Linked DNA regions of Bombyx mori. The protein of the gene in region 2 interacts with the protein of the main gene of each other region in a pairwise test. Links are inferred from orthologs where the notes say so. Each region holds a gene or a part of one and is shown on either strand. Other genes may lie near its edges. The genes, in order: dihydrolipoyllysine-residue acetyltransferase component of pyruvate dehydrogenase complex, mitochondrial; serine/threonine-protein kinase NLK.

Region 1 (4,372 bases), on a different chromosome or scaffold from region 2:
CACACCGTGAGAAATTCTACTTTCTAGATTGTTATTACATAAATACCTTTTATTGTTATTCATTTGTGATTAAGCGTGACATACGTCAGACCTTGACATGAATTGCCAATTTGAAGCTTAATAGATCGTGTTTCATTTTTTCACGAATTTTTTACACGCAAGGGCACGACCTGAATGATCTAATAGTTTAAGAAATACATTCATTAGGGAATATTAATATTCCGCTTAACAGACAGAGTAAATTTTAGAATTGTATTGAATTGTCGTCTGTGTGAAAAAAGTTTTTGACTAGCCATTTTTTAATGTCATTGCCATATTATGTTTCCATAGGTATTACTAATTTTGTTTGTATATTTAATATGTATGTAGGTACATAATTATAGTTTTTCAAATTTTTGGTTTGTTTATATTTTTTACTCTGGAAATCAGAACACAACTAACACAAAAGATTGATACTGTTTTTATCCTTTTTAAACTTAACTCTAAACTTCGAGCTAATTTCAGCATTAGTCCAATTCCAATCAGGCGAATTTCATGACAGTAGAAATTGACAAAAACACCAACTGGTGTGAAAGTAAAACTTTATATTAATTTTAATGAAATCCAAAAAATAAAACAAACTCGTCTGTAAGTAAAATATATTTCACTAACGTTCATAAATAATCTAGCATCATCAAAACGTTACAAAGTAACATTACAAAATTTTTAACAAAACAAAATAATGCTTCGTTTCGTTTCAATGCATACATTAGTTTCCATACTGACGTCACAGCTGTAACGAATTATTATTACATATTTACAGTAAATTACAATAAATATGTAGATCTACATTCCGAACCCTACTTCTTTTTAAATTATTATAATAAAATGCGTAAAAATGTATATTTCGTCACGAGATTTTTTTTCGGTCGTTTCTCATAAATCACAATTATAGTTTTATTAAATACGCGCTTTCAGCAAAAGCTCACTCATTAAAAGCGTAACCACAGAATAAATATATAAATTAAATATTAAGAAAACCGCGACGATCAAACTGTTTATCAAAGCTTAAAGTTAAGCTTTTTCTTATTTCGATTAACTACTTTGGTCCTTTGAACGAGCAAAACTAAACTTTTTATTTGTGATCGAAATAAAATGCGAAAATTGTACTAATAATATTGTGATGAAAAAAAAATGTATGTTCTGTGTCCCCGTCTTACGGTGATACAGGACATCCAAAGGAGCCAAAAACACACGAGGCCATCTCTTGACAGGTTACAATAAATTTTACTTTTTTTCTCCCTTTTTTAATACGGATACCGGTAAAAGCGACTATAATAAAAAAATACAACTTGTTGTTAAAAATAAATTAATACCGTTTCAAAACACTTAACCTTAAAATGTCAGTTTTTTTTTTTTTTTTTTAATATCGGAATTAGAAATGTTCGTCTATGTGTATACGTTTTCGCGACATCCTTTCGTTAAGCTGAATTGAGGTAGGACCGTTTCTCTATTTATAAAATGATGTTGGCGGGATCTTCGAGGTTCTCCTTGAATACTTTCATCCATTGAGCGCCGATCGCTCCGTCCACCACCCTGTGGTCGGCCGACGCTGTGAACGTGACGAACTTGGCTGTTCGGAAGCTGGAATAAACAAAAAAATTATGCAATTCTCATGTTGTATTTGTTATTTTAGCTCTTCTACACACACTCATCGCTTTTAATTATTATTATCATAATCCTCTCGCAGGTCTGCTAGAAGAGATTTCTTAAAGAAATAAGCAGTGCCTTTGTACATAATTTTCCTATTACTCTGTACTATGTCTTCTTTTCTGTGTGTACATATTACATAAATAAATAAATAAAATAATAAAGCGGTAGTGAAACATCGTTCGCTTGCAAAACTAAATCCTATAGTTATATAATCCTATAGCTGATATCAGTTTTACTTTTGGTAGTGTCGCTTATCGAGTGTCATTTCCGTTGCAAAACACAACGGTAGAAGTGAAATTTAAAACGTATTCTATCTCTTTCGCTCTTATAGTGTGGATTGATAGATATTAAGTTAATATAAGTTGAATCGTAAATTCGGTGGAAAAAAATTTGGCTTTCTCGTCATGAATATCCTAATAAATGAACACGTATAAAAGACACTATAACTATACTGAGACCTTAGAACTCATATCTCAAGGTGGGAGGCGACATTTACGTTTTAGAGATGTCTATGGGCTCCCTTAATCACTTAACATTAGGTGGGCTGTGAGATCGTCAACCCATATACGCAATAAATAAATAAAACCACAGTAGTCATTATAGTCACAAACCGACACCTTTTGTCCGGAGAGAACGACTCTAGCCGACCTCTGATTATTAGTAGTTTTTAATGGCTGTACACACAAATTGGAACGCTAATGGAAGCTTACGGTGCTGCGGTACGGGGGCTCCAACACGACGTATTCAGACGCGGAAATTATAGTTGGGATTTGACCTGATGACAGGCACGCTGTTGAGTCTATTTGGCTGGTGGTCATGCTGATAGCTAACAAACAACATACCCGTTTGGTTCACTTTGGTCTGGAATGACCAGTTCTTGTACGCCGCCGCAAGCTATAATGAACGACTGGGGGGGATTGATGATGGCGTTGAACATCGTAATACCTGTCGACAACAAACACTTTCGTTAATTACGGAGGTCGCAGCCTAAGGTCTTAAAGAAAACCGAAAATGAATCTAAAGTTTATTAAAATTAAAAAGATTACAATGAAACTTAAACTTAATTAATGCTACTGGTCTGTCTTCCGACGATGTGAGTTCAGAAGTGCGGGCCCCGTGGCTGGCTTCGAAGCTCCATGAGGTAAAGGTGCTGAATCGGCGTCCCCGCACTCATGTGCGTCAATGTGCCATTTACGTCAATGCACCGTTTCTAGTGTGTTGCAATGCTGTCTCAGCGTTCACGACAGTCACGTACGCCAATGTATATATGTGGTAAAATTCCTATTGCATATCGGAATATTACATAAAGTTAGGGTATATAACACGTTATTGTCATTTGTTTTTGTCACCTCTGCCTGTTTTCATCGAATCAATAACACTTCAATAATATAATAATAATAATCGACTGAGTCGGATGGTTAGCGCCCTTAACTGTTGCTTAACTGTTGTTCGATTCCCATATCGGGCAAACATTGTGCGGTGAACAGGTAATGTTTGCTTTTTGTCTGAGTGTTTACTATCTATAATATATGTATATATACGAACGTATCTAAATCAATCACTGGTACCCATAACACAAGGAACCCTAAATTGGGGCCAGACGACCGTGTGTGACTTCTCTTCTTCTTTTTCTCCACCTTATCTCACTAGGTGGGGTCGGCACAGCTGATTTTTCTCTTCCATTCTCTTCGATCAGCCGTCATCTCAATACTCACTCCTCTCTCTCTCATATCGTCATTCACACACTCCATCCATGTCTTCTTCGGTCGACCTCTTCCCCCTCTACCTTGCACTAGCATTTCCATACATCTCCTAGTCAGTCACATGCATCTTCTCTCTACGCATCACATGACCATACCACGCTGAGCGTGTGTGAGTTATTCTCAATTATTTTTATTATTGTTAAAACTCCATCCAAAACGAGATGTCATATGTTTACACAGCTAAACGTAGATAAAGAATACATACCGTACATTCCTAGGTTCGATACCGTGACAGTACCGCCCTGGTACTCTTGAGGTTGAAGTTTACCGTCCTTGGCTTTCTGCGCCAATTGCTTCATGTTCTTCGAGAGGTCGATGATGCCCCGGGAGTCAGCGTTGTGCAGGATCGGCGTGATGAGGCCGGTCGGAGTCGCCACGGCCACACTCACGTCTACGTTGGAGAATCTGATGATAGACAAAAAAAAATTATTTCAAAGAAAAGTCGGTTTCAATATCATGATTAGATGATACATCATTTAACGTTAAAGCTTAGGTAGGTACGTCATTTAAATCCTTTAATAATTCGCTTCGTATGAAAAGACACATAGTGAAATGTGTGCATAGTTTTGATAATAAAGATTTAAAAGGTAAACAATAACTAAGAAACATAATATCTTGTACTATTTAAATCCTTTATTATTATTCTTATTTTTATTTTATTCTTGTATTATTATTTATTATTATTTTATTATTATTATTATTATCCTTTATTTCTAAAATTTATAAATTATTTGTAATAGAATGACGCCTTTATTGAAGACAGGGTCGTGCCTCAGCAATATACGTGAGACACTTCCAAAACTTCGAGATTGTGCGCTACAATGCTTTTAGTTTTTATGACTGGCAACACCATGAGAGCTGTAATACCTTTGAAAGCGTACTACACAAAACAGTTTTAATCAATTATTAATATCTCA
Region 2 (3,832 bases):
TCTGGAATCACATTTCAAGTTTGGTTAAAGGAATATAGTTTTAGAACATTTTAAAAATAATAACTTGGAACAAATCGCCCCCAATCGGCCCCAAATTAGGACAGGCCAACGGCGGATCCAGGGGGGGGGGGTCATGGGGGTCATGGGGGTCATGACCCCCCCCTGAGCTAGTTCCAGGACTTGAACTAACTTGGACTAATTGAAGAACATCATGATTTATTTATTATCTATTGTTATCAAAATTAAATTATAAGTTCTTAGCTTGCCCACGACTATGTGACCCCCTCCTGGCGCCAAAGCTGGATCCGCCCTTGGGACAGGCATACTTATATAAGTCTTTTTTAAGGGATTTTATGACCTGGTAACTAAGACATTTAGGTCAAGTCTTATCTTAATTTATATTTATAATTTTATGAAAAATGATAATATGAAATAAAGTGAAATGAAATGAGATGATATGATATGGTATGAAATATAATCTCAGTAAAATGGACATTTACTGAGACTTTTTCGGTGGACTTTTTGGAGGATCCCGAGAAGTTACGTTCAGCGGCTTTGTTTGATTTTCCCACATTGTTGCACTGTCACAGATACGAAACAGTTAATAAACCACCGTTATTACACATTTAAACCTGAAGAAACACTAAATAGACAAAATAAAACAAATCACACAGCTTCACTCCTCGCGTTCCCGCCAAAAAGTCCTTACATACGTCTAAATATATACATATATTGATAGTAAATACCCAGACATAGACCAAAACAAACCTGTTCATCACAAAAATGTTTGGCCGATGCGGGAATCGAACCTACGACCCTCGACTCGACCTCGACCGATTGCACTACCTATTTTGTTGAACATAATATTATTATCATTGTGAAGCTGACGTCACAGACCTGCGCGAGTAGATGCACGGCCTCGTGTGTGGCTTGAACGGAGAGCGTGTAGAGGGCCGCGAGGGCAGGGGGGCGGGGCGCGCGGCGAAGCATGTGTGCGCGGGCTCCTGCACACGCGTGACGCATATCCTCAAGCGACGGCGTGCCCAGCAGATCAGTTATCAACTCCAACTAGAATTTTCGTTCATATTTTTTGGATGCGAGAACCAACCCGGTGATCGGTGATGCACTGGTGGTAGGACCTCTTGTGATGCACTGGTGGTAGGATATCTTGTGAGTTCGCGCGGGTAGGTACTACCACCCTGCCCCTATTTCTGCCGTGAAGCAGTAATGCGTTTCGGTTCGAAGGGTAGGGCAGCCGTTGTAACTATACTTGAGACCTTAGAACTTATATCTCAAGATGGATGTGCGCATTTACGTTGTAGATGTCTATGGGCTCCAGTAACCACTTAATACCAGGTGGGCTGTGAGTTCGTCCACCCATCTAAGCAATAAAAAAAAACCTTTGTCCCCTAAATACATATTACAGTATAGTATAATCAAGGTCAAGGAAAATCGATTAAAAATTTTCAGAGGGGATGCTTTATCGTCTTTAAGGAACACTTCCTGTGTTGGAATTTGTAACAAACATAAAGTGTGACGTCAATTCTAACAATAGTCCTCTGTCTCTCTCTGTCTAACACTTATATATACATATATAAGTAAAAACAAATGAAATATGTATGTACCATTTCCTCCGGTTTGACAAGTGATTGTCGTTTACCACTCTCTTTGGTTAGGAATTTTAGTACTACCCACTTTTTTTTTTAAATAAAATTTGTATTTGTATTTTGTCTATTTTGTATAATAACAATATACAAAAAAAATTATAAGTGATTATGATAGATTTGGATTTCTGAGCGAATACTAATAAAACTAAGGTCAAACAATTCTATCTCTCATCAAACGAATGAACATTGTACTATACTCTACGTATATACTGTGTTACTTATAATATTTTGTATTCAAGTTTAACAATATTTGCTATGTGTGTGTGCATTACTATAATTCTAATGTTGTATTTGTTATTTTAGATGTTCTACACACACTCATCACTTTTAATTATTATTCTCATAATCCTCTCGCAGGTCTGCTGGAAAAGATTTCTTAAAGAAATAAGCAGTGCCTTTGTACATAATTTTCCTATTACTCTGTACTATGTCTTCCTTTTTATGTGTACATAAATAAATAAATAAAATGAAAAACGCCGATTCTTCTCTCACTTGACTATTGAGTTTGTATGTAATTAACTTTTGACATATGCTACACTCACCTGTTGAACGGGACTCTGTGCCTGGAATAAGATACGCCTGCCAAGTAGCTCGCCGAATATACAGCCGACCGACCAGACGTCAACAGCTGCTGTGTAATGGTTCGCTCCCATCAGAATCTCAGGGGCTCTGGAACATAATCAGAGGTTTTTTTTTTCAAATATCCCCATAGATAACTTTTTTTAATACGCTTTCATTAGCTTCAGACGTGAACATAATTTTGACCCCCTCCAAAACGTCGGATTAACAGGATATTAACAAAATAACCCTTCTACTCATATCTATTCATAAAATATTTATAGCTACTGTACTATACCATGCACTCCACGCTTTTCTTACAGTAAAATCATTTTTTCTTACACTATCTTTAATTCATATTTATTAAGATTTATTTTCTATTTTTAGTGGGATTTTCTATAAAAGCGTATTTTTTTAGTTTTTTAAACTATTATTTATTTATTGCTTAAGTGGGTGGACAACCTCAGAGCCCACCTGGCGTTAAATGGTTGCTGAAGCCCATTGACATCTACAACGTAAATGCGCCATCCACCTTGAGATATAAGTTCTAAGGTCTCAGTATAGTTACAACGGCTACCCCACCCTTCAAACCGAAATGCATTGCTGCTTCACGGCAGAAATAGGCAGGGTGGTAGTACCTACCCGCGCTGAATACCTGCCTTTTTATTAACGTATGCGTCTCTGTCCTCCTTGAAGTATTGCATTGTTGATAAGGAAGCAACCGTAACATCATTAAGTCTCAAAATAACTAAAGATAGACATCGTCAAGGCCCGTGTCACTCAATGAACGTTTCCAACTAATCCGACCAGAATGTCGTGAAATTCCAAACAAAAGACCTTCGAAACAATCACGAATTATTAAAAAGTTAGATTTTACTCAATTGAACTTTTTGGATGACGGATATAAAATACTTCTAATTTAAAAACTAAGAAAACACATTTAAATAACAATTAATTTAATCTTTCTTTCTTTCATCCTGTTGATACTGATCAGGACAACAATTTTATATCTTCGCTCGATATAAAGCGAATTATTACCTATATATTAATACGTGAAGCAAAAACTTTCTATCCCTTTTTAAGAAAATTGCGCGGACGGAGAAGTATGAAATTTTCCACACTCATAGGGAATATAGAGAAGAAGTTCACAATGCTAATATTTTTTTTAAATAAAGCATAAAAGATACATTAAATCAATAAAGAAAACATTACACACACTACATACCAAGTATTTGACGCACACACGCATGCATACTATTAATTGTCAAGCTTTTGTTCTTGACGTCTGTTGTCAAATTGAGAATTCATTAAATATTGTTTGTCTTTATTAATATTATTTATAGCCTTGGCGAAATTTGTGATTATAGAAGTATAAGATACAATCATAATAGTGTACAAACATATTATACAATTCCAATTAATTATAGTCGAATTTCGACTACTGCGGGACTTCTAATGTTAATAATTATATAATATTACTAGCTGACCCGGCAAACATTGTTTTGCCATATATAAGATTTATAGGGAATTTCTAGTGTAGAAAAAAAACTAACTTATTGTAAGTGTGTAAGGATGTGGTAAATGAGTGAAAGAGGTATGTAGCGCTG

Evidence for each region.
Region 1: the proteins of serine/threonine-protein kinase NLK (region 2) and dihydrolipoyllysine-residue acetyltransferase component of pyruvate dehydrogenase complex, mitochondrial interact in a two-hybrid assay, tested with the Caenorhabditis elegans proteins (2 studies listed by BioGRID, with this or other methods). The link is inferred for Bombyx mori from reciprocal best matches to the Caenorhabditis elegans genes lit-1 and dlat-1.

The regions. Positions count from the first base shown.
Region 1 is NC_085109.1:9,381,879-9,386,250, forward strand, and holds the end of dihydrolipoyllysine-residue acetyltransferase component of pyruvate dehydrogenase complex, mitochondrial, read right to left. Parts: intron 3,861-4,372; coding exon 3,661-3,860; intron 2,638-3,660; coding exon 2,535-2,637; intron 1,624-2,534; coding exon 1,494-1,623; 3' UTR 625-1,493; downstream 1-624. UniProt on the Caenorhabditis elegans protein: The pyruvate dehydrogenase complex catalyzes the overall conversion of pyruvate to acetyl-CoA and CO(2).
Region 2 is NC_085116.1:3,740,958-3,744,789, forward strand, and holds part of serine/threonine-protein kinase NLK, read right to left. Parts: intron 2,337-3,832; coding exon 2,210-2,336; intron 1,069-2,209; coding exon 898-1,068; intron 2-897; coding exon 1-1. UniProt on the Caenorhabditis elegans protein: Has a role in the Wnt signaling pathway controlling the asymmetry of cell divisions during embryogenesis. Operates in the AB and EMS cell lineages influencing cell specification.